Linked DNA regions of Lepisosteus oculatus. The protein of the gene in region 1 purifies or fractionates together with the protein of each later gene. This does not show direct contact. Links are inferred from orthologs where the notes say so. Each region holds a gene or a part of one and is shown on either strand. Other genes may lie near its edges.

What was found.
Region 2: the proteins of ddx5 (region 1) and histone deacetylase 2 purify together in Homo sapiens (affinity purification with western blotting; 3 studies listed by BioGRID, with this or other methods). This does not show direct contact. The link is inferred for Lepisosteus oculatus from reciprocal best matches to the Homo sapiens genes DDX5 and HDAC2.
Region 3: the proteins of ddx5 (region 1) and ctnnb1 purify together in Homo sapiens (affinity purification with mass spectrometry; 3 studies listed by BioGRID, with this or other methods). This does not show direct contact. The link is inferred for Lepisosteus oculatus from reciprocal best matches to the Homo sapiens genes DDX5 and CTNNB1.
Region 4: the proteins of ddx5 (region 1) and ep300a purify together in Homo sapiens (affinity purification with western blotting; 5 studies listed by BioGRID and IntAct, with this or other methods). This does not show direct contact. The link is inferred for Lepisosteus oculatus from reciprocal best matches to the Homo sapiens genes DDX5 and EP300.

The regions. Positions count from the first base shown.
Region 1 is NC_090704.1:45,522,329-45,529,399, forward strand, and holds the start of ddx5 (probable ATP-dependent RNA helicase DDX5), read right to left. Parts: upstream 3,020-7,071; 5' UTR 2,860-3,019; coding exon 2,819-2,859; intron 2,070-2,818; coding exon 1,901-2,069; intron 1,551-1,900; coding exon 1,454-1,550; intron 1,334-1,453; coding exon 1,200-1,333; intron 882-1,199; coding exon 816-881; intron 706-815; coding exon 564-705; intron 476-563; coding exon 315-475; intron 232-314; coding exon 59-231; intron 1-58. Other genes in the region: centrosomal protein of 95 kDa, read left to right, coding at 5,776-5,797. UniProt on the Homo sapiens protein: Involved in the alternative regulation of pre-mRNA splicing; its RNA helicase activity is necessary for increasing tau exon 10 inclusion and occurs in a RBM4-dependent manner. Binds to the tau pre-mRNA in the stem-loop region downstream of exon 10.
Region 2 is NC_090697.1:5,943,688-5,951,604, forward strand, and holds the start of histone deacetylase 2, read right to left. Parts: upstream 3,008-7,917; 5' UTR 2,900-3,007; coding exon 2,845-2,899; intron 1,804-2,844; coding exon 1,691-1,803; intron 1,058-1,690; coding exon 940-1,057; intron 1-939. UniProt on the Homo sapiens protein: Histone deacetylase that catalyzes the deacetylation of lysine residues on the N-terminal part of the core histones (H2A, H2B, H3 and H4).
Region 3 is NC_090705.1:42,391,096-42,398,056, forward strand, and holds the start of ctnnb1 (catenin beta-1), read left to right. Parts: upstream 1-3,956; 5' UTR 3,957-4,091; exon of another isoform or gene 4,092-4,194; intron 4,195-6,961. UniProt on the Homo sapiens protein: Key downstream component of the canonical Wnt signaling pathway.
Region 4 is NC_090707.1:38,059,156-38,067,144, reverse strand, and holds the start of ep300a (histone acetyltransferase p300), read left to right. Parts: upstream 1-4,988; 5' UTR 4,989-6,362; intron 6,363-7,674; 5' UTR 7,675-7,989. Other genes in the region: xpnpep3 (xaa-Pro aminopeptidase 3), read left to right, coding at 170-255, 583-766, 1,969-2,089, 2,634-2,800. UniProt on the Homo sapiens protein: Functions as a histone acetyltransferase and regulates transcription via chromatin remodeling. Acetylates all four core histones in nucleosomes. Histone acetylation gives an epigenetic tag for transcriptional activation.

The DNA.
Region 1 (7,071 bases):
GCCAGTCTGTCTGGAGTCCCAACCCAACTCAAACAGGAACAACAGCTCTGGAACTCACTTGTCATCCTTCTCCCCATCATTGCACACATCCACAATCTGCAGGATGTTGTGGTTGGCACTCAGCTGCAGTGCCCCCACATTGATCTGGACATACTCCTTCAGAAAGTCCTCCGCCAGTTGCCGAACCTCCTTCGGCCAGGTAGCGCTCCACATCAGGGTTTGCCTGTCCGGCTGGAAGGGGGGAAATAAAAAGTCAATTTGTCTCCAGCATTAACCCAGCAAGACCTTGAAGCTTCGGGAGTGGGAAGACCTACCCTGATCTGATCTACGATCTTCCTGATCTGCGGCTCAAAGCCCATGTCAAGCATTCTGTCGGCCTCGTCAAGTACCAGGTAAGTGCATCGGCGGAGATTCGTCTTTCCGACTTCCAGGAAGTCGATGAGCCTTCCAGGTGTGGCAATGCAGATCTCGACGCCTACAAGAGGTGGAGAAGAGCTCTTTATCTGCTCCCAGAAGGGTGAAAACCACAGCAACGGACCCGAGCAAGACAAGTATGGACATACCTCTCTCCAAGTCACGGATCTGAGGTCCTTTAGGGGCGCCCCCATAGATGCACGTGGACTTCAGTCTGGAGGCTCTACCGTATTCAGCAGCAACCTGCTGGACTTGCTGAGCCAGCTCTCTGGTTGGAGCCAGTACCAGGCACTGTAAGAAGGGGGTTAGAATATATTAGAATATAGGATGGAATTTATTTAGGTTGGCGAAACATTAACACTTTAAAAAAAAAAAATCGCTGTGTAAACTGAAACACTTACAATGGGACCATCTCCATGTTCAAGGAATGGTTGGTGGTTGATGTGTACAATTGCTGGCAACAAATACTGCAACAAAAGAATTTGAACATTATGGAACATGGCATTTAATAAACATGTTAAGTTAATTGAATTCAGTTAACTTAAGGACTATTACAATCAAAGAAAAAGACTACATTATATTGACTCATGTGGATGGGCAGGAGTCAGATCGACAATGGGCTGCACGGTGTTCCAAATGGGGGCAGTGAGCAAGTGACCAACCTTTACAGGATTACCATAATCTCCAACACGAGAAGCACATTCCTAGGATTCTGCCACCACCTTCCACACCTAGACTTGACATCAGTTAAAACCCTTCCTATAAGGCGTCACGATTGACCTTACCGAGAGCGTTTTCCCAGATCCAGTCTGTGCAATCCCAACCATATCCTTCCCACTCAACGCCACCGGCCAGCCTTGTGCTTGAATGGGGGTAGGTTCGGTAAAATTCTGTTTGGTGATCACGTCCATTACATAGGCTGGAAAAGGAAGACCGATTTAGACTTGAACGAGGACTTCAAAGCACCTTCAAGTGCACTTAAACCTTTGAAGCACAAAAACAGGAAGCGTGCTCCGTTTGCATCCTGGCTCAGACTTACATGGGAAGCTTGCTTCATGGAACTTCATTATGGGGTTTGGACAATCCCTGCACTTCACGGTGACTTCCTTGCTCCTCCTGTACTGCTCCACTTCTTGCTGCAGTAAGAAAATAAGCCCATTGAGGAAAAAAAAAACTGACCACCCTCCAGAGCTACAGCGTCACACAGCCGCCCAGTCCAGCGGCCCTCGTCCGGCACGTTCTCATTTACGCAAGTCTTCCAGCTGGACAGTTACAGGAGCGAAACACCCCGGGGGGGATAACGGAGACTGAACCTGCAGGTGAGTCTTCACACCTACTTTCTCCCTTCAAGGAATCCCTAACTGCTTCATCACCAAGTCCTAAATCATTTTTAACCGGGGGGGGGGTATCAAGAGATAAAACAGCAACGGTCTCAGGACCCGCATCGCAACCCCTGGAGGCTGCCGCACCCGTGCGGGCGACTCACCGCGGTCCTGCGGGTCACGTCGGCGTGCTCCTTGTAGAAGTTCTTCTCGAACTTGGGCAGCTCGTCCAGGTTCCAGTGCTTCTTCCGCAGCCGCTCGCCGGGGTTCCCGAACTTCTTTCCCGGGGGGGCCCCGCCTCGGCTGCCCCCGAACCGCGGCGCGCCGCCAAAACTGAAACGACGGCAAAACGGGAAGCTCAACAGACGGAAAGACGTTTTTATGTAAAAAAAAAAACACAACGAAAACGGCAGAAGCTCTCTCCGAGATGGCGGCGAGAAATGCGTCTCGCTTGGGTAAAACAACGGGGCCACGTAAGCGCCATCATTACAGTGCCATGGGGGTGGGGGATTCGTCTTTAAAAGATTAAAGATGAGATTCCGGCAACCTGCACTGAAAAGATTCGGCTCCGCGACGTCCCTGTGCGAATCGCACCCACGCCTGCCCCCCTTTTTAAGATTTGTTTCTGCGTCACATTTTAAGCCGCTGCCATTTTGCTTCTGACCAGCAGAGGAACAAAGACGCCGGCCGGCCGGCATTTTGTCTCCACATCTTTGAACCCGTCGTCACATGGCGAGCACACCGGGGAGGGGGGAAAAAAATGGAGGAATGTTTTTTTTCCTCCCACACCCGCATTTCGGACCCAAGCCCCGAAATCCACGTCACTCGTTCACAGTCAAACTACAACACTAACAGTTTTAAACTAACGAGACGTTTCAGACACACACGCACACAGATTAGTCGATCGTCGTTCCCCGGGAAAAACGACCTATTATTTCTAAAAAAAAAAAACCCCGACTACTAGCCACACTAACTCACAAGCAGAATAATCGGCGCAAAATACACAAACCCAAAACATACATCACGTTTTATTTCAAATCAAACTCGTGTCAGCCATTTTACATTCGTACCCCCCGACTTACCCTCTATCTCTCCCACGGTCTCTGTCAGAAAAACCAGGCATGATGCGGGAAAAAGAAAGCTTGGGATTTAAAAAATAGATATATATATTCTTGCGTTACAGCAGCGTTTAACTGGCTAATTTCTTAAATTTTCGACTTCCTAGGCGGGATCCTTCCTCTCAGTTGCCGGCAGTGGTAACGCTGAAAATGCCGGTTCCTCGCGCACAGAAGCCGGTTTATATAGCAACAGGAAACGGAGCCTCGCGAGACCGCAGCACACATGGCGTATCCCTCCGCCTGCAGCCGGTACTATGACCTCACGCTGCTCTGTTGCGCGCAATGGCGGCCGAGCTGGATGGGGTTGGAGAGCAAGCGTTTCTGTTGCATTACACAAACAAAAGTACTGTGGAAGTGGCAACTACAATGACCAATTTTCTGTTTTGCTCCATAAAATGCTATATAACGTAGGTGGCTTAGGATCTTTTTTTTTTGGGGGGGGGGGTTGTTTGGTTATTTTAAACGCGTTCTTTGTTATTAGAAGTTAATCGTCGTCGTCACTTTAGTAGTTGGTCTGAGTCCAAAAACAAAACAAAAAAATACGACAGGAGTGCGTCGGTGCGTCGTGTTAACCGCCTTTAGAGGGTCTTTCACTATTGTTGCTCGGTGTGTGGGGACGTGGGGCACATTCGCAATCGTGGTCACAAACGAGACGAGGTCATTCAGGCCAGAAAGCCCGTTTGGTGGGTGGCAGTGAATTGATCCGGGCGCCCCATCCGCCCGTTCCTGAAAGAAGCCGGGGTGTCGGCTTTGACAACGTGGTTGAGTAGATTGTTCCACGCCCTCACGCCTATTTGTGTAAAGCAGCGCCAAATGTTGGCGTTTCTAACCACCCACACACCCCACCCCGCCCAGGAAATTTACACTTTTTTAAAAGGTTTTTATTATTTTTCAAATGCAAAAAGGGGAAGGAAATACAACAACCAGGGGTATATACATAAACAGGAAGAGGTGTTAGTGGGGCCAGCAGGGGGCGCTCACCCTGCAGTCCATGTGGGTCCTAATGCCCCAGTATAGTGACGGGGACACTGTACTGTAAACAGGCGCCGTCCTTCAGATGAGACGTAAAACCGAGGTCCTGACTCTCTGTGATCATTAAAAATCCCAGGGTGTTTCTCTTAAGGAGTAGGGGTGTTACCCCAGCGTCCTGGCCAAATTTCCCCCTGATCTTTACCAGTCATGGCCTCCTAATAACCCCCCTCTCTGAACTGGCTTCATCACTCTGCTCTCCTCCCCACTGAGAGCTGGTGTGTGGGGAGCAGACTGGAGCATCATCCAGGTGGGGGTGGAGGGGATCCCCATTACCTGTAAAGAAAAGCGCTATATACGTGTAAGCAATTATTATTATTACATACAAATGTCACAACATGATAGAACAACGGTAACATCAGGTGAGTGAAACAAAAAACAAATTCTCCACAGTACCGAGGTTCAGTGGTGTTAGGGGTTACATTAAATTTATATGCCAGAAGATTTTTGTAGACCAACTCGTCAAGGTTATTTTTAAAATATTTTTTGTGAATTTGAGTATAGCTTAGGTGAGTTAAAGCACATTGTAGTTTTTTTTTAATTCTACACGTAATATTTTGCTAACATCAGAATGACGTTTACCATTATACGAACTTCCTTGGATTTGGATTTGGAACACCAAGAACAATATCCTTAAAAGTTACAAGTAACATGTTTATTCCCTGCTGAACAGAGAAGAAAGAAAACTCAACGTTTCGGCCGTGGATACTTTTTCACACCTGAAGAAGGCTCCACGGCCGAAACGTTGTGTTTTCTTTCTTCTCTGTTCAGCAGGGAATAAACCTGTTACTTGTTCCTTTGCAGCCTGCGCAGGCTGACGCAGCTACCCACCTGAACTCCTCAAAAGTCCACGAATACTGCTATTATTTTGGCCAAGAACATACCAAGTGCCAGGAGGTTGTCGAACCGTGACGGGAGAAGAAAATGTTCTTTCAATATCTGTTTCAGAAAAGGTACAGGTGTTGCAATAATTTCCACTTGTGTCCTCCCCCTAGTCGTATCTCAAACAAGGCATTTTGTTAAACAGCACCTGTCCCGGGCACGGGCAATACAACCCACCACCGTTTCCTTTATTGAAATACAAAAACAGTCTCCGGTTCTCAATAGTCTATCGCCTAGTCCAAGTACACGACCACACCGAGAGTCTGAATCGCAATTTGCGCGATGTATTTACAGGGTAAGACCCAGCCTCCGTCACCAGCGTGTCCAGTGAGTCTCTGTAAATAACAGCCCTGTCTAATCCGTCTCCAAGGAAGTGTGCAGTTGGGTCATTTCCTGGACTTTTTATTTTACGTGTTTTGCCACGTAAAATTCATTTTGGTAGCAGCACTTGGAATCAACCATCCCGTTTTTACAAAAAGTACACCAACGGGACGGAATCTGTAACCGCACCTATATAAAAAAAACAGTTTGTTTTAGTGAAAGGGTCTATTTCTAAGCTCGGAGGCATCGCCAGCAGGACAGCACAGCACAGCACAGCACAGCAACCGGCTGTGCCTTCCTTTGCCGGGAAATGACGTCAACCCAAACGTCATGGGGGCGTCACCTTTAACGGGCGAAAACAAGAAATGCGCAGTGTGAAATAAACTGAAAAAAAAATCGGCATTTTTACAAACAAGATCGCGAGAAGAGGACACTTAAATGGAAAAAAAATGAAAAAATGCTCTTGACGCCTTCTTGGTTTTCCGTTGGCTTTACGTCATATCCGGGATCGGGGCGCTGTTCTCGGCAGCCAATGGGAAGACTCCCGTGTTTTAAATGTCCGAGGCTGGTTCAGACCGTGAAGCTGAGCTACAGAGCTGTGCGTTATCTTCAGATCCACCACCTCATCTGCACTTCTCGTTTTTGTTGGTTTTGGACACATAACGATTTGCTTTGGGAACATACCATTCATGGGAACGCAAGAGGAAAAAGGTCAGTGGAAAGGAACCCCTCCTCTGTCAGATTAACCCACAGGGCGCTCTTGAGACCCTGTCCTGCGTTTCTTTTTAAATAAAACCCCAGACGAAATCGTTTATCTTCACCGGTCTTGCCCAGCTGTTCCGTGTTCCGTCTGTGCTTCAAAGATGTGGTTGTAAAGGCTGTCAGATCGCGGACAGGTTATATCACGACGAGGGACGGGCTAGCACAAAGATTTTTATCTGTCTTCTGTCCTGGTCTGCTGCTGCTGCGGCTGTATTCAATACAGCTGCTGCATCTGCTTAATAATTTAAAGCGCCGTTTGGATAAGATAAATATCCCTCTATACCCAGGGTTGAATGGGACAAGGGCCTTTCGAGAAAATGTCACCTTTTGTTCGGCTACTTTTCTGGGTGCCCGCTTTGGGTTGAATGAAATTACAAATCAGCACGGAGTGTTTTGATAGATCAGGTAGATCGCAAAAACAAGAAGCCCAACAGAACAGGGGGTATGTTGTGGTTGTGGTTCTGTTTTTGCTGTGTAGTTTTATTGATTTTATTTATTTTTTTAATCACTTCGCTGCTAGAAGCCGTTCCCTTTCTTTTATAGATGTTTGCTCTTCATAGTGCAGGCGTACTGTATCGTCGGCTGCCAGTGGCACTGTTTCGCTTCGGGAGAAGAGTACAGTGCGCTGTAAATTAATTAACGGTTAGTAGCTGACAGTACTCGGGGCTGTACAACAGTAAGAGTCCCTGTACACAAAGCGTTGACCCTTCGGCACGTATAAGGAGTTTTTGAAGTGGGAATCGTGTTTTAACTGCGGGATAATAGCGGCGGTTTTTACTGTTGGCGCCGGTCCCTGCTGTTGCAGCGGCAACAGTTACTAACTTGGCCGATGAGCAACAAAGATTTAGTGACGCTTATAGACCGGCTTGTGTTCACCCCTTTCTCGCCAAAACGCTTTTTCTACATTTGATTTGTGCCACAGCCCCCTTTCCGGGGTCCTGCACAGTTTTGTTTGGGATGGTAAATTTATTTTTCCAGACCCTGGAGCGCAGCTTGTGTGTCTGTAGCGATGGCAAACCGAGCTACCAGTAGCTAGGACGCCACTGTCAGTTTCTTGACCATTAATCAATCCGCCAGTCGAGATGGTTTTGGTGCCGCGCTGTTTGCCATCTACTAGTATTACTACTACTAGTAACCCGGCAGCTTGTTTCTTCCCACAAGCTGTCTGATCACTGAACTCTACCCCTACCACTGGCTCACACAGATGTTTTTTTTTAATTGTA
Region 2 (7,917 bases), on another chromosome or scaffold:
ATAAAAGAATGCGACGCATACATTTCGGGAGGTTAATAGTTAAACAGATCATGCCTTAATAGCTCACACTGTCATCCTATAAATAGTACAGATAACTCTGAATACCCAGAATGATAAACATCTACTAACATTTCAGACGTGTTCGTCAAAGACAAATGGACGTCCACGCACATGTGGTCATATCAGTCACTCAGGTTATAATATATAAACAGTATTGCAATTAATAGTATAATAGTCCCCAATTTCCATTTTTTATTTTTACATCTTAACTACAACCAATGTACTGTACAGTACATTTTGTAAACCACTGATTATTTTTAATTCTGAGAATATTAATAGCATCTAGCAAAACAAGTCTTGCAGCCTCACCAATACTTGAAGCAGCAAGATCTTGTTTAAAAACAATTATTTGGTTAATAACTGAGCTGGATGCCTTCTTTCTTTATATTATCGTCCCTGAACATTCTCCGTTATTGGACAGCAAAACCAATTTAACAGATGAATCTACAGAAATACTATCTGCTAAATATCTATCAAAAACAATCAACCAGAGAACCAGACAGGAGAAACAGTTGTTTCAACTGTCGTTTTCTTCACGTTAATGATACCATAAACGTGATATGTCCAGGTAAAATGACAGCCAGTGATGTATTTAAAAATCTATATTCTATATGGTTTAGCTGCTTTACATAATTACTTTATAATTATAAATTAGGTATGATTTGTGATATAAAGACAAAAATGGTAAGCTAACCAAAAATAAGTAATTAACTCAGTAAGGTCTTTTTTAATTAGTATTGTATTCCTAGTCAGGCGCTAGAAAAAAACAACATCTGTAAAACAGATTTAACAGATTCTTACATAAGTTTTGCAATTAATCTACAGTGAAGTGTTTGATTAGACAAGATCTCAAACTGTCTGAAAAGTTGCAATGCTCACATCTTTGCATTTGTTTGCTGAATTCAGACATGTTTTCTGTTCTGATTGATCTGAGGAACTTGATGTAATCATCACTGTGGTACTTTGTCATTTCTTCAGCTGTGGCCTTATGAGGTCTCTGCAGACACAAAAATGAACATAATCCAATCAACAGAGTTAAACACAAGACAGAAACAAGAAATAAATATCCCAATGGCATTTTAGTATCATACATACAGGAACAATATAACTATGTATATAATAAATATATTAAAATGCCAATATTTAAATCTACATTATAATGTATTTACAACTGATCAAATAGTACTAATGCTCCCTTATTTATTTATTCTATTGCTTACTTTCATAAAGAATTTTGCTATCCTAAGAAAAAAGAGTCCAGATATATTACACTATGAACCTACACACTGAGCGGAATAAGAGCATTTTCACATACTGCTTCCGTGGCTAAAGTACATCAGTCCTCTGCTTTAGTGTCTGCATGATAACTAATCATAGAGGTATTTCTCTGTTTAGCAGGTGCCCTGTTCTAAGGTGAATTTTCATTGTAATACAAAGTTTAAATGACCTGTAAGTAGGAAGGAAACAACAGGTACAACAACATGCAAATTGAATAAAATGCACACTGTAGATAAGTGAAATGGCAATAATGCTGACTTGTGAAGCGATGCTTGGCAAACACTTAAAGACAGCAATGCAACAGACACATGTTCAGCGGAAGTGTAATCTGTCATTACACTTCAAGACTTACATAGATTTCCATTTTCCTGTAAAGCCCATAGTTTAAAAGCAAGTTGTGGGTCATGCGAATTCTGTGAGGTTTCATGGGATGCCCCTGTCCATAATAATAGTTTCCAATGTCACCTGAATAATAAAAAGTAAAGGTTAACAGACAAAACTGGGCATGACTTATTCAAATTCTTCGTATTGAAAGAAATACAAAACTCTTTTATTAATAAACCATTCAGTGCCATTTATTTCTAAGATGTTAAGGGACACCTTTTCCTGCTGTGGACTTAAGTCCACATTTACATTTTGGCAAACAAATCTTCACTTAAGAGACGCAATAATTACAAATTAAACGATGAAGATTGTTTTGTTGTTGTTGTTTTTTTGCGTCGGGCTCATTTCCATAACGCGAGGAGGCCACATGTCCTGGCGTCAACGTACTTTAGAGAAGCACAATCCGCTTGCAGTTTAATCACACGTAGGCAGGTATTAAAGAAAGCAAATATACGCGGGATAGTGTAACCGTTTTGGTGCTGGTGAGTAGCGATAGCTACATTTTCCGTGGCGTCTATAAAGAAAACGGGCGATACCTACTAAATCTGTAAAGAAAACAGCGCTAATGGCTCTGACGACGGAAGGAGACGGTTTTGTTTTGGATGAAGGCGGACATGCGCAGTGTATGGTTTTGTTTTGTTCCCGTCGCCACTAGGCCTTGGCGGCAATGAACAACTTCTGAGTATTTAATTTGATTCAGCACTGCAGTCGGGACACCTCGCTAACCTAACCCCCCCCCCTCCAAAAAAACAAACAACAACTTTTAAAACAGAAATTATAAACGCACAACTGCTGCGCAGTGGCCATCGTGCGTGATGTTTCTGTGTATTATTACGGCTGAGGTACGCGAAATGTTCGCATCGACTCTCGGGGGTTCAACGTAAAATCAGTTTCAAACGCGTTGTAACTTTCAATTATGCGGTTACAGTCGATGTAAAAAGAAATATCAGCTGCGAGACACGATTTTACATTTTGCGTTACATTTAGACACACTAAACCCGGCCACCCGTCTCTTGTCCCTCTCGTCTTCACTCGGCCCCTCTCTCATTGTGAGCGTCACCCCCGTCGTCTATTGTATAAATAATAACTGCAAAGCAGGAACAGGACTGCAGGGTCTCGTACCGTCATAATAGTAGCAGACTTTCTTCTTTAAACCGCCTTGGAGGGTATATGCCATGATTACTCTCTGATCGAAAGGTGATGTCGGGTCGACGGAAGCTGGTTATATTTTCGGCGGAGAGATAAGGAAAGACGGGGAGCGGGGCGGTACACTGACGAGAAAGAGGTGGGCCGTGTGGTGGTGGGGGTGTCTTATATCCAGCGCCGAGCATCGGACTGAATAAAGAAGACGGAAATATTCCAGCTGTCCATCAACACACTCTGTAACACCGACGGGCCTTAGTGCGTCAATCATTGAAGTAAAACAATATATTATTTATTGGTATCTCGCTGATCATTTGTAGATGGTGAAGCCACTTCTGATCCAGGGTTGTGTGAGGCTACTAACACGAACAGAAATAATTTTAGATACCAGTTATGCCGTCGTCAGCAGGACAAAGCACTATATCCAATATATGAATAAATGTGATCTATACCGGTCATGTTTTTGAAGTACTGTACTAACAGAAATAAAGTATCCGTCTGTACCAAAAAAAAAAGTAAAATGTAAAGAGTTAGCTTCTTGAATGGCAATTTAAGTGTCTTCTATAAAAATGTTATAAAAAGTGTTTGATGATTCTAATACAACTGGGATAGCTGTTGTTAAAATGATGAGAGCAATATTCAAGGGTCAGGCCTTTGTTACTTAGCAGTGCAGTAATAAAGATGTGTGAAAGTGCAAAGCCAAGTTAACACAGCGCATCCGATCTGAATTCTGATATCTTTTTTTTTTTACTGTTCTCATTGTATTTAGTAGTGAAATCATCTGGGAATCGGAAACCAATCAGTGAGAGTGAAGCGATTTGCCTATAATCTTATGGTATTTATCTTTTGATTTATAGCTAAAATCAACACAGATGGTTTCTTCGAAAGGAATAGTAAAACGGATCAGATGACACAAGATGAAACTGTGGTGAAGTGCCTTCAAAACCTAAAACAGAAATCATTCCTTTGGAGTCTGGAACAGGCTACCAAACCATGTTGTTGAAGCTGATACTCTGGTTTCTTGCAAGAAACTTTTGGATGAGACCTCTGGAGCAATTAGTTACCAACAACCTAACAGGCTAGACGGACCAGACAGCCTCCTCTTGCTATAACCTTTCACATGTTCTTCTGTTCAATTGATTGGGGTTTTATAGGAAACCCTTCAATCACTGATGTCTAAAAGCTTGGCACAATGACTTGTGATCAACTGTAATTACTTCTTTGTTACGTGAAATAATTTATAGATCAGTAGGAACTTACATTTTCAGTCCTCAAGGACAGGTGTTCCCTCAGCTTCACAAATTACTCATTTCATTGCTTAATATGTCTGGTCTATGCCAAAAATGCTTTAGAGAATTTTTTAAAAATACAGGACTGGGGCTTTCCAGGGTTAGGGTTCAGGTTTCCTGACATAATCTATAAAATACTGTGTATGAGTACCTAGTACTGTACAAATGCAAGTGCTTCAAACTTGAGTATTCCTTGGATAAATGATACCAAGTTTCTAAATGTCTCCCCTTACCAGGGATACCTCTTGATTCCAGAGCTGTCTGTTCATGTAGTTTCACAGTTCTCTATAGAACTTGTCAGACTCTAGACAGGGAATGGAAAAGTCAGTCAGGGCTCCCTGGAAGGAGCTTCAGTAGGTTTTGCTTTACTATTAAAATGGGTACTGATTGGCTGCCAGTTGTTCAAAAGCTTTAGTTCTTTTTCTTTCCCTGAGAAAATGGAATCGATCAATGACTCTTCATACTTTAAGCCTGTAGGCCCGTGCATGTTTCCTGTTAATCTGAGACCTCCACACGGATGCCCTGGTATGGTGCACCAGATAACAAAAGTCGTTGCATTAGGTCTATTAATTCACTAATCCATTATTGATTCCCACAGTGAAATAAAAATGAGAAACCTTCATTCTGAAATATCAGTCCTGGTGTAGAGAGGAGCTATGAGCCTAGTGTGCCTGAATGGAATATAAATGCTGAGAAACTCATTTCAAATGGTGCAGGATAGCTTTCTCAAAAAGCACATGATCCAACAAAGGGGCTCATAAGAAATATAGTTAGGGTTAAATTATTGAACCTGCCTCTAGGACTTTGTGTATTAATCTCAACATACAGCTAACCTTCATTGTGATCATTTATGTCATAATGAAAAATACAGAACTGCTTTACTGATTAAACATCTTTTAAAGCATGAAGGAAAGCTGGAAAAATAATACTTTTCAATTTCTGTGAGAGCTGCAGGTTCTGTATATGGGAACACAGAGTCATTACGTATTGTACTGTATAATGGTTTTCTAGACATCAGTTTGTAGTTGGAGGCTGCACTTTATCTGCGCTGTGTGATAGTCATTAGACTCATTTTTCCTCTTTTCAGTAAAAACACTTTAATAAAATTTTTCCCTGTCCCTCTGGGTAACTGCCTCAGTAAGATACTTTGTCCTATGACTAAATACTAAGCCCAATACGTAGCAGGACTAAAATATCAATGTAAACTTCAGAATATCATTGACTAATTATAACTTGGCACCCATGGGTCTCTTATTTTTAAGTTAGATTTACATCAGGCCATGCGATACCAGAATATACAGTAAATTATTCTGCTTCTTTCTGTGATGGAAGCTGACATAATTCAAAGAAAAAGAGACCTTCAGAAAAACATACAATTACTTTGTTGACATTTTTCCTGTGAATTTTCAGTGAAACATTACAACCTTCCCTACATTTGTACTTTAGTAAGTAGCAAAAAATAGAAAGGAATAGAATGTTATCCTTGAACTGTATCCAATTTAGTATAAGACATGCAAACCAAAAAACATAACCTTCATTGTTCCCTATTTGACGTTCAACTGCTTTTTACCAACTTGTTAATCTTATCATTTTGTGTCATCTTGTTAATCTTAATATGACAAGTTTCATGCATATACTGGTATATCATTAACCAGTCTGGATATAACTACATTCTTGGATGGGAAATTCAGTTCTCTATAGAAATATTACTGTGTCTATAAGAAGCAGAAACATCATGAAAATTAAATTAATTCTGTACCATGCAAACTACAAAGGAAGAAAGAGAGATTGATTCCATTCAAAAGAAAGAAACTAAGAAAATATTTGCTTTATACTTTTCAGCAAAGAGCTAACCAATACTTGTTATATTTTGCTTTCTAATTTCTGCACAAACACTAATCTAATTGGATTACACATCAGCATACAGTGCTTGGCACAGTTTTCAGATTTTGTTGCTTTAAAGCCTAAAAGTAACAATTAATATTTGTTATATACACGACCTACTCCACACATTCTAAGCAAAAACAAATAAGTAACTTTATAATTAATATGAATGAAAAATGGAAAGGTGATGATAGCATAAGATTCAAACCCTTTCCTGTGCAAATGGAAATGAATTTACATGCACAGTATTACTGTACCTGCGCGAGCCACCTACAGTAATTAATGGTTTCAGAAAACGTGCATTTGGCCACGTAGTGAATTTCAGGCAAAGACTCAACCATGAAAACTAAAGCACTTTCAAATCAAGTCACAGGTTAAGTCTTTGAAAAGCACAGATATGGAAAAGGGACCACAAAAGGTTGAAGTCTTTGAATACCTGCATGAACACAGTATAATATGGGGAGAGTTCTTTTTCAATGGTATTTGCTATTAAAACCTATAAATTTATATTCCTAAAAGAGCAACATGCTTATTGCATATGCAGTTTAGCAGTTTCTAGGAAATCACATTATATTAAATTGATTGAATTTAAGTTTCTTGCATATTTTATTTTTCCTGCAAAATCTGGATTTTACATGAAGACATCCATCCATTTGATCCAATTGAAGGTCACTGGGGTGTCAGAGCCTATCCCAGGAAGCAAACCTGGATGACATGCCAGTCCATTACAGTGCAGACAGACACAAACACAGACACACCACACCAGTTCGTTTAGATAGGGTATGTCTTCGGATTGTGGGAAGAAACTGAAGTGAGCAGTGAAAACCCATGCAAATTCAGGGAATTACATACAAACTCCATGCCGACAGCACCTCAGCTCTGGAATTGAACCCAACACTGCGAAGAACAACGTTAACCACCGTGTCACTAACTGCCCAATTTAGCCTTTGTCATAATGACAAAAAAGTGGCAGCACACATTTTTCTTTTGAGTAAAAATAGTATCAGTTCATTGTTTTTACAACGTTTTCAAACTCCAGGACAGAAAAAAAAATGAGCCAACTTAAATTTAGGTCACACAAACATAAATTATTCAGCAGTAATGGAAGTGTCAGGTGTCATTAAAACTTTACTTTGTTATTTTTTTCCTGTGATTTTTATAATATAAAGTTATAATATACATGTGTATAAAATGATTTATAAAAAAACTAGGTAAACTTCTTATGGGCCCATCCACAATTTCAACAAGAAAACCAATAATCAAACTCTTAAGAAATTATGCAATTTGTGCAATTTAAGCAATCCAAGCAATCTTTTAAATGACAGTAATAGAAGGTTTTTAGATATTTCCTGACACATAAACTGCTGATTAATAGATTTTGATCTTTGGGGAAGGCAAACCTGAAACATTCTTGTCACTAACATCATACATGCAATTATGAACTTGTGTCAGTGCCTGCCATCCTGAAATTTCTAGATGATTAATATTTATCAACAGGAGGCCCATAATAGAGAACCTTTGTGAATTGCCATGGATAGCTTGAGATAAAATCCAGTATGAGAAGAGTTATTAATCCTGCTGTAACACATTTAATTTGCATTTTTTCATTTTCCAATTACCGCACAATGTAACTTCAAAACACCAGGTGTAATGTCATTCATCGACAGCTAACCTTATGCATAGCTATCCTCATGGTGCTCTCTGCACCACCCAGATTACTGCCGAAAAAACAGATATGGTGGAAAACCACACAACTTTTTAAGAGGAAAGAACATAATGTCCTGCAAAATCATATATTAACACAATAATTCAGCTAAAAATATCAATGAGGGTGCTGGACTACATTGACTGCGTTACATGCAATGATTAGTGCAGGTAG
Region 3 (6,961 bases), on another chromosome or scaffold:
TATTCCGTTCAGTGTTTAGCTTTAAGGTTTAAACAATTCCACCAGTCGTTAACGTTTGAAGGCCTAAAGCACTCTGGTAACCTAAGTGCAGATCAGGGGTGTCAAACTCCATCCCTGAAGGAACTCTATATTCCAATCCAAGGAGTCAATTAAACAATTAACCTAATTATTTTCTTAGTTTGACAGAAACAGGCTGTTTCTTAACCTTTTTCACGGTTCATTACTTAAGTCATTACAGGTTCAATTACCTGTAGAACATCTTAGGTTTTCCAGTTACACAGATGTTAAATAATTGTCAGGTAGGTTACTGAGAGCTCAGGTGGACCAGACACCAGACATGGTGGGAAAAGGACTGAATTGAGTCCCTTGCTCTACAGACGCCAAAGTGTTGTTTTGTCAGATAAACAAAGTGTTGGATGAATAACATGTTTATGCGTTTACGTGGGAAGTGTCCACGTGAATACAGAAAAATCACAGAACATTTAAAACAACAAGTCACCTGTGTCGTGTGGTCCACGTGTTTCTACTGATTGCTTCACTTCAGATGATATTTCACCCAACACGTGCGTCCTGTTTTCAGTTCCATAACAACACGATAAAAGAAAAAGTTCCAATTAACAATCAATTATGACCGCATGTAACACACTGGATTTGGAAGCGCTAGAAAAAGCCCTCTGAAACTACATAAGTAGGACAAATGTTAGCCATGAGAGATACGGCAGTGGATATCTGGAGGCTTACCCAGACACTTCCAGGTGTTCTGCTCATTAAATCGTGTTGTAACATTGCGCTTTAAATTTGTCAATAAAAACAGATTTCGGAACTCGTGGTTCCTGTGTATTCTGCTCTTCTGGAGACACCCACTGCCTCCCTGGGCTCATCCGGGGCGTGCATAGCGCCGAGGACCCACTGCTCGCCTCATGACGTGCCATCCACGGAGGAGCGCATGTTTATGGGACGCCCTGTCGTTTCCAGAAACCTCCGCCATCCCACGAGTCTCGCCGGACCCGCAAAGCTTCAAAGTGCGTCGCTCGGCTGGAATCCTAGGTCCCGTGTTTTGGTGTCTTCCTATCTAATCGCAGTATAGTTAAAATGGCTGAAACGTTGAAGGGGGGGTCCCAGTTACCTGATCCCATCACAGCCCGTGAGAGGTGGGATGCTGACCTCCATGTCCCTGCACACTCCTGCTCCACGCCTCCCCAATCTGGCCTACCCGGCGCTCCTTCTTAATTTCACCTGGTGAAGCTCTGTCTCACCGCGGCACGCAGCCTGCCGTGTAGTGAGTGGGCCTGCTGCCCGTTATTAGCTGGGCTCTGCGTGGTGGGTCCACTCCCATATCTTTTCATTTGGGGATTAAAGGGGCTATATGAATACCAGGAATTATAATTAACAATAACCGTATACCTTTTTGTTATGAATATTGTTTGTGCAAGCATGCTCAAACACGATGTGCATGCTCCAAATGCAGCTCATGGACAGCAAATGATTACATTCTTGTGTGCAGAAAACAAAAGACCACTTACCATAATCATTTCTGATTACGTGCACAGAGAGAGACTGTATTTTAAACCTGTGTACTGGGCTATAAATATATATTCAGAAGCAATGCAGACCATTGTATATTAATGTAACCAGAATGCAGGTTTAAGAAATGACAGTTGTAACTTATACATCAGCACCACAAGACGATAACTACAGTCCTCAGAGGACAAGCGGTAGAAAAATATTATGACAAAATAATCACCATTTCTTGTTATTACAAAGCGATTTGTGCAAGTCACCACTGTCATGCTGAAGAACTGAACATCTTCCCCAAGCAGACTGTGCGAAGAGCTTTACTTCTGTGCTTAAATCGCAGAAATAAGGGAGAGTAGTAAAAACAGTTATGAAAATAACAAAAGCTACTGTATTTTTTTTACTCATGAAGAAATTTACTTCTTCAAACTCGGAATCGTAAAACCACTGGATAACAAAATATAAAGCAGTAATTCACTGCCAACTGAAGATAAGTACAATTTATGTACATCAGACTAATGCTATATATTTATTGAGTAAATTTAGTAAAAAATAATTATTTTTTTACGAATCCCTAACAGTTTGTGTTGACTGTGAGCTTGTTCGTTTTTTTAAACAACATTTATGATTCCATTAATTTAACCAATCTACGTGGTCATACACATATCTTCACGGCGGACAGAGCGACGTCTCCCAGTGTCAACCCACACCGGAGGCAACTCGGACACAATCCAAGGCGCTCCTCTCAGCAGCCGTGCGAGGGACTGCGCTCCCACTCGGCACAGCCGAAGACACGGGCCGTCCCCAACAAAACAAAACAAAACAAAACAAAAAGGCGTGTTTTCACAAGACTCGCACCTGCCTGGGTTCTAGGAACACCTTGTAATGCTTTACCGGAAAAAAATGACGATGCACCACAGTGTGAGTGTGGGAGCCGACGGAGGGAAAAAAGAAAAAGGTGAAAACAGGTTGTATGTTGTGCAAAGCGACGTCACTCGCCGCCGGTGTGAAGATGCCTGTTATACCACACGCACCCACAATAATGAGAGAGTCGCGTATTCGGTGAGGTGGCAGCAGCCTATAGACTGTCTTATAAGAACAGGGTGTGAGGAGTGGACAGGGGGACACTACACCCCCAATAAGACTCCAGACCACCGCAGGGCTCCAGACTTCGCTCGCGTTCGGTGTGGGTGCCCCTTCCGCCGAGAATGGCATCGATTCCGCTGTGAGACCATTGCGTCACCGACGCGTCACCAGCGTGTGCGGGTTCGAAACCAAGAGAAGAGTGACGTCAGCCCTGCCCCACGGGCGACCGGGTGTCGCGCGTCCCCCCGGCGAGACGCGGCCGTGATTCCCCATCCCCAACACAGCTGACTGGCGCACTGTATCGCCTCATGATGTTACACTGTGTTTTAAAACTGTATCCTGCATGCGATTGTGTTAGAGGACCGTCGGGGCTGGCGGGTTCAGTGACTGTATCTCATCGCCCGTCCTGCCGGGCAACACTGAAGAAACAGCTCTGATCGGGTCGCTCTCGGCTGCTTTCACACTTTCCACCTCGGTGCGAGGTGACATTGTGACACAGCTGACTTGTTTTTTTAAAAACAGTGCTCTTCAAACGGAAAGCCGCATAAATGAAACCACGGATTTCCACTGCTACGTCTCGTAAAACGAATGAAAGGGCTTTAAGTTGCGCTAGCTGGGGTGTTTTTTGTTGTTGCTGTAGTTGGCGATCCGCTGCCCTGTTCCTGGGGCGCCTGTGCCGTCCGATGGTTTCCTGTCGACCACGACACGCACGCTGGGGGTCGGACCGGGGGCCGGCAAGGACACCCCGTAAAAAAACACAACCCCCTACCAGCGCATCGCCGTGACCCCCCCATGCTTTATTTATTTAAAAAAAAAAACTGGAAACAAAATGAGATCTGAAGTGTTCTCTTGTTTTCCACGGGTGCACCCGTGGGTCGGGTCTGCTCGGTCACTGGAGGACAAAGGTCCCCGGAGTGCACACCGAGGCGGGTCTCCCCTCGCCCTGCGGTTCGGCTGGGAACCCTCCGTGACCCACACCTCACTCACCCTCACCCACTCCCACACCCACTCGCATTCCAGCCTCATGAATAGGTACCTCGCCGCCACCGCACCTCCCGTATCCCTGCGCACTCTCTAACCCCTCACCCCCCTCCTCCCGCCGCGAGGGCACAGTGAAACAGAACAAAAAACAACAACGGCGAAACCCAACACAACACGAACGACCCGAAGCGCGCAGACGTTAAAGCCGCGACAGGACAGCGGGTCGGGCCCGTTTTGTGTTGTTCGGCTTGTGTTGTTGTGGTTGGCGTTGCTCTTTTTTTTTTTCCAAGGGGGGGGGCCGGGAGGCGGAGCGCGGATGGAGGGCTCTACTTTCCGCGGCAGGATACAGCGGCCCCGGGAGGCGTTATAAGAGCCCGTCTCCGCCGGCCGCCATTTTGAGTCTCTCTGTCCGCTTCCTGTGGCGGAGCTGCTGTTGGGCTGCGGCGGTGGACGAGCGCCTTTTCGGCTTCGATTTCTTCGCTTTCCCTACCCCTCCGTCCTCGCCGAAGGTGGTTTATTGCTGCTTCTCCTCGCCCTTTCCAGCGCCTCGCACGACGAGCCGAGCCGGGCCGGTCCGCGCCGGGGACGGAGAGAGGCGGTGTGCCGCGGTAGGTGAGCCCCGGGCCGGCCGGCAGGCAGGCAGGCTGGGCGCCCGGCGGGGTGGCCCGGCTCTCTCTCTCGGGCTGTCTCTCCCCACTCGGGACCTGCAGTGGGCTGCGTGTGCGTGTCGGGGGTCCGGGGCTGTCGGGCTGCTCTCTCCCGGTGCCACCGCCGGGAGAGTTGGAGTCCGGACGGGCCGTGAGGTGTGGTGATCGTGGGTCCCGTGTGTGTGTGTGCATGTGGACGGGGAGGAGGAGTGGGGGGGTGCGTGGGGCTTGGAAATCTCGAGTTTATCCCACCCTCGAGGAACTGCTCGAGCTCGCGTGGGGTGGTGGTGGGGTTGCGCTCGCGTGCGGTTCATCGTGTTTTTTTTTTCTTTCCTCCTCCACCCCCCCCGGTTTGCGTGGCTCGGTAGCGAGTTGTTGTTTTTGCTTGATGGGGGGGGAGGCGGGCAGGCAGGAGGGCGTGAAGCTGCGGGCGTGGTGGCGCCTGAACTTCGTGCGCCGTGTTGTTGTTGCTGGTGGGAGTGGGGCGCTGAGAGGCTGAATGACCCCCCCGCCCCCGGGGGGCTGCTGGCCTGCCGGTCCCCTCGCCCCGCCGGCCGGACAGAGGCCGGAGCGGAAGGCGGGGAGGAGCCTGAGTGAAACCCGAGAGCCCGCACTGCGCGCCGGGCTGCGGGGCCGTGGGGCCCGTGGGGGTGGGGAGCCCCCCCCTCCCCACGCACGAAGACTGTAGCCGCGCTCCGGGAAATGCCCAGCGCTTTAACTTTGGGGTGGCGTTTTGTTTGAACGGGAAGGGAAGTTGGGTGGTCGACCCCTCCCCCCCCCCCCCGGGTGGGTGAGTGTGGAGCACAGAGCCGCGGTCGTGACCCGGACTCCCGTGGCTGCTTCCTGCTCGTTAGCCGTGAGAGTGGGCTGGGGGCACCTCTGTATTTGTCCAGCTGCGAGTAAGGTCCTGCGGGGGGTTCAACTGCCCCTGCTCTGAGTAAGGTCCTGCGGGGGGTTCAACTGCCCCGGCTCTGAGTAAGGTCCTGCGGGGGGTTCAACTGCCCCGGCTCTGAGTAAGGTCCTGCGGGGGGTTCAACTGCCCCGGCTCTGAGTAAGGTCCTGCGGGGGGGTTCAACTGCCCCGGCTCTGAGTAAGGTCCTGCGGGGGGTTCAACTGCCCCGGCTCTGAGTAAGGTCCTGCGGGGGGTTCAACTGCCCCGGCTCTGAGTAAGGTCCTGCGGGGGGTTCAACTGCCCCGGCTCTGAGTAAGGTCCTGCGGGGGGTTCAACTGCCCCGGCTCTGAGTAAGGTCCTGTGGGGGGTTCAACTGCCCCGGCTCTGAGTAAGGTCCTGCGGGGGGTTCAACTGCCCCGGCTCTGAGTAAGGTCCTGCGGGGGGGTTCAACTGCCCCGGCTCTGAGTAAGGTCCTGGAGGGGGGAACTGCAGATCAACAGGTGACTTCGGGGGAGCGCTTACAGCCCCGAGCCCCAGAGCAGTCAGGTGGAGCCGAGGTTCTGGTTCAGCCTGAGCCCTGGCTGTGTGGCTCTGTTGCGCGGAGGGCTGGGCTGTGTGCCGCTCAGGCTGGCTTGCGAGGAGCTGGAGCGAGGCAGTGCAGAGGCAGGCGAAGCTGGAGGCTTCGGGGTCGTGTTTCACTGCTCGGCGGTTTTGGGGGGAGGTGTGCTAGCAGCCTGCCTTTCCTTTGAAGATTTCTGCACCAAATGAGTTCCATATGTGTGAGGGAGGTGCAGGCGGCTGTCTGGAAGCTGGGGGCCGAGAGCCCAACAGCAGATCTTTTATTTCTTCACCACGAGCCCTTTCAGCTGCAGCGCGGAGAAGTGCCGAAGTGAGCAGAGCTCAGGCATTCCTCTCGGCCTGTGGAAAAAATGCGGTTGCGCTGGCCTGTGGGGAGGAGGGTGGGGTGGGATTTCATAGTGGACTGGTGGCACTGGTGTGCTTCAGGTTAGGCAGTGGCAGACTCAGGGGGTTGTGGGACTGAAACTTGGCGTGAGATGTTTGGTCATGTGTGCCCTACATAATACATACTCTGCTGCATAGGTGGGGTTGTGGCACGCTTACTTGTGAGCGCTTGGTGGTTTCTTTGTTTGCGTTATCTGAAAGGTCTATGCTAAACCTTGATTGAGATCAGTTAGGTGATTTGCTCTGGGTGGAAAATGCCAGAAATGGTATGTTCTCCATGGTGGAGGTTAAAGGGCTCAAAATGAGACAGAGACCTATCGGACTTGATGTTTTAAGACACCCCCAACACAGTCAGGTTTTTTACATTTATACACAATAAGATCTGTGTTGACTAACCTAGATTTGCCCCGACTGTTTTATGATTAATCTTGGCAAAACTAATCTCTCAAACATGTCCACAACCTGGAATGCTACAGCTACGAACAACAGCGCTTTAAAGGTGTTTTACTGTTGATCAAGTTGGGAACAGTCAGGATTTTCATAGAGAACTAATCAACTGTTTCTTCTTCCTGAGTACTGCAACTAAGTGTTATTGGTTGTAGGCTGTTTATTTTTTGTTAGCGGTAATTGGTGGGGGGTGGGGGTGTCTGTACAAGAGGTGTGGTGTAGGTAAATAAAGATTTCCTGCCTCCTGGTTCAAGAATGACTTGTGAATTAAGGGTTATTACCCCGATCCTCAATATGCTTGTGTGTAGAAGTGAATCAAATCTTTGTTTATAATCTTTATAACTGGATTTGATTAAAATAAAAGCAGATTAGAATAGTTTAGAAGTTTTTGGACATAGTCACATAAAACGTAGTTTTCCCTTTTGCTGTA
Region 4 (7,989 bases), on another chromosome or scaffold:
CACTCTACACAGGCTGCGCAGACTGACTGACACACACTCTACACAGGCTGCGCAGACTGACTGACACACACACACACTCTACACAGGCTGCGCAGACTGACTGACACACTCGGTGCAGACCTGCGGACAGTCACTGGGTGACACACACTCTCTCCCTCTCCTCTCTCAGGACGGGGAGATGGTCCTGCTGGACGGGGGGTGTGAGTATTTTGGCTATGTCAGCGACGTCACCCGCACCTGGCCGGTGAACGGCAGGTAAGGGCCGTCTCGTGAGAAATGAATTAACGTGCCGGTGGGGGGGTGCACCTTGAGCACTTGGGGGTGCCTCTTCATTATTCAGGCCGAAACAGAAGGTCCCCAGGAGAGGGTGGGGGGGCGTCTTCGCAGGCAGGCAGACTGACAGCTCTGACCCCCCCTGCGCAGAGCAGGCCATGAGACGATATGTCCGGGCGCCGATCTCCAAGGGTTGATCTCCGTGCCCGTCTGTGCAAGTCGACCCAGCCCGGGGCAGCAAGCTGGGAGTGTCCGGCGCCCCCTGCTGGCCAGCTGCGCGCGCTGCTCAGGCTGCCTGTCCCTCTGCAGGTTCTCCCCGCCCCAGGCGGAGCTGTACCAGGCCGTGCTGGACATCCAGGGGGCCTGCCTGACCCTGTGCTCCCCGGGCGTCAGTCTGGACAGCATCTACAGCCACATGCTGCGCCTGCTGGGCGCCAGGCTGAAGGACCTGGGTATCGTCAGCTCCAGGGCCGGCGACGCCGACACGCACCGGGTAACTACAGCGCCCCCCGCTGGCCGGCCGCGGTACTTCAGTGGGGATTGTCACGCCGACACGCTTGCGCGGTTAAGCGTCGGCTCCTTTCTGGACACTGCGTCAGAGTGCACCGTCGCCGTAACACACAGCGGGTGACTACAGCGCCCCCCGCTGGACCGTGGCATATTGACTGCTCCCCCATCCGTCGTCGGGAGTCTCACTCGATCCCCCCCTGTCTCTTGAGCCCTGAGAAGACTTTGATTGAGAAGTCTTTTTCGGACCCTATAGAGATATTGCCGGCATCAGGCAGTTTCTCTCCGTGTCCGATGCCCAGTGCCTGATTGGTGCATTTATACTGGAACATGAGGCCGATTTCCACAGCTCTCCCCTGTGTGGGCTCCCCAGCACCCTCCTCTGTCAGCTGCACCTCCACTTCTTCCTCACTCCAGGCCTGGCCAGCGCCTCCCCCCGCCCCCCGCACTGGGGTCGTCAAAGCCCGGCAGGCGCGACAAGGTCCTGTCCCTGACCCCTGGGGCTCTGAGTCGCTTGTCTGAACTGCTCCTGTAGGCTCCGGGCAGCGGAGGCTGGCCCTCTCCTCGCTGCGCCCAGGCCTAGCGGTGGCCGAGCCCGGTCAGTCGCTGCTCCAGCGGGACGGACAGCCCTCCCCCCCGACCCCACGAGAGACAGTCTCTGCCTCTCTTCAGATCTCCACTCGAAACTCCCCTTTCTAGCAGGGCCCTCGTCGGCTTGCCCTGCGTGTTCCGGTGTCGTTTTTTTTTCCCCGTTTACTTTTAATCGTGCTTTTTGTTTAATCTGGTCTTCAACACCACGTACAGCGTCCTTGTGTCTAGAGATGATTATTTACTTTGTCAGCTTTTTAGCGCGATGCACAAGACGGCTAGCAAACCAGGGGAGTCTGGGCAGCCAGTCTGGCCCCTATGCCAGCTGGACAGGCAGCCAGACGCAGGCCCCTGGACAACACTTACTGCTGTGTCTTATTTCTGCTCCCCTGATGTTCGGATGTTCACTGTGGCAGCTACCGATGTGTCGAGTTTCTGTTTTGCTGCTCGGAGGAGGTGTGTTGCGGGCAGCTGTTTCTGTGCCAGCGCCCAGCTCGGGACAGCGGGTTTGTAGTCCTCTCCTCCGCTGGGGGAGACGGCCCGTGTCCCACTGCCTCTCTGACACGGCGGCGTGCTCTCTCTCTCTTCTGCCCCCTGCAGGCAGCCAGGCGCTACTGCCCTCACCACGTGGGGCACTACCTGGGCATGGACGTCCACGACACGCCTGACCTGTCCCGGGCACAACCGCTCCGCCCTGGCATGGCCATCACCATCGAACTGGGTACGAGACTCAGTGCAGTGTTAATGTGCTGGAGTGTCCAGTCAGTGTGTCTGTGTGAACCCCTCTCTCTCTCAGTGCAGTGTTCATGTACTGGAGTGTCCAGTCAGTGTGTCTGTATGAACCCCTCTCTCTCTCAGTGCAGTGTTCATGTACTGGAGTGTCCAGTCAGTGTGTCTGTATGAACCCCTCTCTCTCTCAGTGCAGTGTTCATGTACTGGAGTGTCCAGTCAGTGTGTCTGTATGAACCCCTCTCTCTCTCTCTCAGTGCAGTGTTCATGTACTGGAGTGTCCAGTCAGTGTGTCTGTATGAACCCCCCTCTCTCTCTCAGTGCAGTGTTCATGTACTGGAGTGTCCAGTCAGTGTGTCTGTATGAACCCCTCTCTCTCTCAGTGCAGTGTTCATGTACTGGAGTGTCCAGTCAGTGTGTCTGTATGAACCCCTCTCTCTCTCAGTGCAGTGTTCATGTACTGGAGTGTCCAGTCAGTGTGTCTGTATGAACCCCTCTCTCTCTCTCAGTCTCAGTCTCCTTTCTGTCTCCCCCAGGTCTGTACATCCCAGAGGATGACAGCAGCTGTCCGGAGCGATTCCGAGGGATGGGCGTGAGGATCGAGGATGACGTGCTCATCAGGGAGGAGGAGGAGGGTCCCCTGGTCCTGTCCGCCAACACCCCCAAAACCATGGAGGAGATCGAGAGGGCCTGCCGACAGTGACCGGGACTAACGGGGCAGGGGGGGGGTGGATGGGGTGAAGGAGAGCAGCTGGTAGAGGAACACAGACTTTTTAAACGCGCCCCGCTTCGGCCCCGCGCGGTATGCTCCCCTGGGTCAAGTCGTGGACGGTGGACACGGCGCCGCACGGATCTTCCGTTTCAGAGACGATCGGGTCAGTGGCGCTGACCGCCTCAGGACCCGGCAGCCCCACCCCGTTGATTACACGGGCCCGGGGGGGTGGGGGACCCGGTTGGAAAGAGGGGGTGCAGGTTTCTTCGGGGCCCGAACCGAAGCGAAACGGTTCTTTCGCGAAAGCTTCGACGGCGCCCCCCCCGCGGGACCCTCGCTCACGCGCTGCCCGAGGGGCTGTTCCGCGCCCCGCTCCTGGGCGGGGAGGGAGGGCAGAGGGCAGCCGAGCCGGGAGTTCTGCGGCGCCGGTCCAGGCGGGGCTCCGGGCTGGTACCCGGGAGGTGGTGGGTTCGAATCCCAGGGGTTCTGACGTCAGGGTGTTCCTCGGATCCCGGGGGGGGACCCGTGAGGACTGAGGCTCACCGCTCTGTGTTACCGGTTCGGCTGCGCCGGTCCGAGAGGCCGGGACTCTTGTGATCCGGCTTCTCCTGGTCTCCCTGTCTCCGGGTCTGTGTGCCTGTCCCTGAATAATAAAGTGTGGGATGCTCGGAGCTCTGCGTTCTGGGGTGCGGGCTGCGAGGGCTGTGTCTGTGTTTAGAAACGATCTTTCAAAGACCTTGATATTGGGTTCCAATACCCAGCTAATACAGAGATACCGTACTGTAAAAAGGCACTGTTCTTCGGGGGATGTGTAAAATCAAGGTGCTGACTCCGATCATTAAAAATCCCGGGGTGTATTGGAAAAGAGTAGGGGTGTCACCCCAGTGTCCTGGCCAAATCTCCCCCTGGCCTTTACCAGTCATGGCCTCCTAATAACCCCCCCTCTCTGAACTGGCTCCATCACTCTGCTCTCCTCCCCACTGGGAGCTGGTGTGTGGGGAGCAGACTGGAGCATCATCCAGGTGGGGCTGCACATTGGTGGTGGTGGAGGGGATCCCCATGACCTGTCCAGCGCTGTGAGTGGGGTGTCCAGAAGGGTGCTGTAGAAGTGTGAGGAATCATTCTCTCACAGGACAGCTGACCTTGTCCACTGGGCTTGGCTCACCGGACTGACGCCCCCTCAACCCTGCCCAGGCGGGGCTATGTGGGTCCCCTCCCTTCTCCCCTGATAGAACCCCCTACCCCCCCCTCTTTTTATAGTTCCTGTCTCCCCAGATTCTCCAGGTACCGCACCAGTACATTACAGGGACTTTACTGAACCCTGAACACTCACACACAGAGACATGGAGTGATTCTGTCATGCTCCCTGCCTTCACAGCAGCAGTTGAACTGAGTGTTCAACAGCTGTCGGTCCCACACTCGTCTGTCCACTGCTGAGCGATGTGTCCCCTCCTCAAATGAACTTTTTCTAAGTGCATCGCGCCTGTACCAACTGCAGGTGGGATGGTGAGACAGTGAGGTGCAGATCTCCCCAGAGTTTGGACCCAAGGAAGGCTGCAGGAGGGGGTAACTGGTGTTGGGGAGGGGGTTATTATTTTGGGAGAATAAGCAGACAGAGCTCCCAGCTGGCGTGAGCCTGGCCAGTACCTGGAGGGGAGACCTTAGGATGAGACGTAAAACCGAGGTCCTGACTCTCTGTGGTCGTTAGAAATCCCACATTGTTTCTCGACAAGATTAGGGGTGTAACCCCGGTGTCCTGGCCAAATCTCCCCCTGGCCTTTACCCATCATGGCCTCCTAATAACTCCCCTCTCTTGAACTGGCTCCATCACTCTGCTCTCCTCCCCACTGGGAGCTGGTGTGTGGGGAGCGGACTGGAGCATCATCCAGGTGGGGGATGGAGGGTGGTGGTGGTGGAGGGGATCCCCCACGACCTGTACAGCGTACAGCGTGAGTGGAGTGTCCAGAAAAGCGCTGCATAAGTGTAAGCAATTATGATGATGACGGTGATCTTCGAGCGCCCCCTGGCGTCGGTCACCCGCTAGCGCCGTTCCGGAAAAGAGCGAGTCCGGGGGGTTTCCGGAAATTCCCGAACACAACCCCCCCGCCTCCTCCTCCTCTTTTTCGAATACATCGCCGCTCTGCTCTCTAGCTTACCCTCCCCCCCCCTCCGCTCCCGTGTCGGAGGAGTAGAAACAACAAGCCGCCATTTTGTTTGCGCGGAGAGACCGAGCGCGGCTGGAGAGACCCGAGAGAGGGAGCGACCACAGCGCCGAGCACAGCGACCCGGAGAGCGGCCGCCCGACCAGCCCGGAGCCGACACAGCGGCAGCGTGGACCCGGAGAAGACGGCGAGAGACGGGGGGCACAGCGCGGAAACGGAGAGTCGGGGACGAGGACAAGGAAGAGGAGCGAGAGAGAGAGAGAGGAGAGAGAAAAAAAGAAGAAGGGAGAGAAAATCCGCTTTTAAGACGTCCAAGGAAGGAAAGAAGGGGGGATTTTTTTTTCTCTTTTCACGCGGAGCGGAGGACAAGCGGAAGCTGGGGAGCATTTTCTGCGTTTTAGAAACGGAGGGACGCTGAAAAGGCGACGGGAGGGAAAAAAAAATTCTTTTGGAAGTGGGGGGGGGGGTTGGTGGCGGCGGCGGTGGTGGAGAAATACAAGCGCATCGCGTCCGGAGACGAAGAATTATTATTAAAAATAATATTCATCCTCCTCCTCCTCCTCCTCCACCGAGCGAGCGGGGGGAGACATACGAGCAGACGTACACACGGAGGGAGAGAGAGAGAGAGGAGACGAGGAAATATCGGCGAAACGGGAACCCCAACCGTTAGAGAGCGGAGAGAAGACGAAGGATTGCTTTTTTTTTTTAAGAAAAAAGGGGGGGAGCAGACGGATATAATCGACCCCGCAGGCAGGCGGCGAGAGACGGGGGTTTGAGGGTCACCACACAAAAGACTCCGGGGGGGGGACGTGCGCTTTCCTTTCTGCTGGCGTGGAGGGGAGACTCCCGGGTTTCTTTAAATGCCCCCAGCCCCGCCGCTCGCTCAGTTCACCCCCTGAATCATAGCAGCGACACCCCCATCTCCCATCCGCCCGGTCCGGACTCCAGCACGCCGGGGGGGGGCACCGACTCCTCGCCATCGCCGGGACCCAGCACATCGCGCCGTTGGAGAGGACCGACGAGAGGCGACCTGTCCCGTTTGCACCACGCCGGCCATCCCTCCCTCCTCCTCCTCCTCCTCCTCCTGTGCGGCCGGAGACCCCCCACCCCGGTGCCGGTGTCTGCCGGGCGGGTTGAATCCGGTGGCGGCCGTCCTGCGCGCAGTTTGTGCGTGTTTTTGGGCTCCGGGACAAGCGTGGCCACCCCGCACCGGCAGGAGCGGCACGGCGGCTCCTTCTTCCACAGTTGTGTTGGGAACCAAGGAAGAACAGTGGATTGAAAATCCGTTTTGAGCCCTGGCGTGGCCCAGACGCCGTGAGATAACAAGGGATACCTGTGCATCTGCGTCCGTCATAACCAAGACTCTCCCCGGCGTCAACCTGCGCTTTCTTGTAAGGTGGCATTCAAAAAAACCTAATAATAATCATCATAATAATCATATCTGAACCCCGTTTTGTTTTTTGTTTTTTAATTCCAACATATTACACAGAGAGAGGGCGCAAGATCGCGAAGTGATCGATACTGTGACAACTAGTTTTTTTTTCCACCCCTGAAAGACTGCTGACCGTCACAATGCGAGAAACAAAGTCACATTAGCCCGCCGCTGACATCACTAGAGTGAAACCAAACACTTATTTTTTTTGTAATAAGTGGGTTTTTTTTGTTGTTGTTGTTGTTGTGGTAATTAATAAAAGAGAGGGGCGCCCTGACCAAGTTGCAGTTTTTGAAACCGGGCATGCCAAACCTTTCCTCTCTGGTCATGTGCTAGCGTAGCGGCCCGGTGTTGTGAACTTCCGTTGCAGATCGATCCCCCCCAAAAAAAAGCTGCAAGAAATACAAACGGGTTTTTTTTTTTACTTTAAAAAAATAAAAAACATTGCCAAAGTTGACCCCCCACCACCACCACCACCACCCAAAGTTTCAGCCCTTGCAGCTCAATCAAGCGCTTTGATTGAGTTTGGCAATCGATAGAGGCGATCATCCTCACCGGCCAGGTCTCCCAAACATTTTTAAAAGAAGCCCTCATTCCCGCTTTGAAAAAAAACACGGCGTGAAGCGCGGCTCCACGAAAAAACAACAACTTTTTCATATCGATCACAGATATCGGGAGGCGCCTCGGAAGGTATCGCATCCCACTCGCGCCGATACGACACGCCGGGGAGACGATTAAGTCGTTCGCCCGGTTTGTCGTACCCTCACAGAAATCGACTTTATTTAATTTTTTTTAATCAATTTCTAACACCCGCCGGCAGATGTGCGTGTGATCATGCGCATTGATCGGAAGTTGCTCCCGTTTCTCTGAGCCGGTCTCAGCTGTTCGTGTGAGGTGAGGGGGGTGTTAGAGAGAGTTGGGGGGTACAGGCGGGTCCGAGGGGAGGGAGGTGGGGTGTGACCGACCTGGGCGCCCGTAGGGCCAGCCCGTCCCGAACCGAGCCCGAACCCGGCGTGCGCCCTTTTACGAAGAAAGAAAATATATATATTTTTTTTTAAAAAACCCAACACAAGTATTACCTTTCCAGGACGGGGGGGTGGGGATGGCGTCGGGGGTTTTGTATTGTGAAGAATAATTACCTCCTGGCCCTCGTTCGGGTGCGACTTTTTTTTAACCTCGTCTCTCTCTTTCTCTCTCCCCTCCTTCTTCATTTAATTTTTTTCCACCCTCCCCAAACCCACCTACCCACCACCACCAACAACAACAAAAAGGGAAATAATTCAGATTATCTCTCGCCTTGGCCTCCGGAGATGGTAGAAAACGCAGACGGAGCCCTGGAGGACCCTGCCCGGGACATCTTGATCTGCGCCGAGGAAGCTACATGAGTTAATCCGGAGGGCCTTTCTCTCTCCCAGCGACTCGGAGACTTTCTCTTCCTCCTCCCCTCCTCCTCCTCCCGTCACTACTACTACAACTACTACTGCTGCAGCAGCTAGGAGCCGAAATCTGTGAAGGAGCAACACCACAACACAACCCAAAAAACGCCCGGAGGAGGAGGGGAGGGGAAGTTTTGAACGCCAAATCCG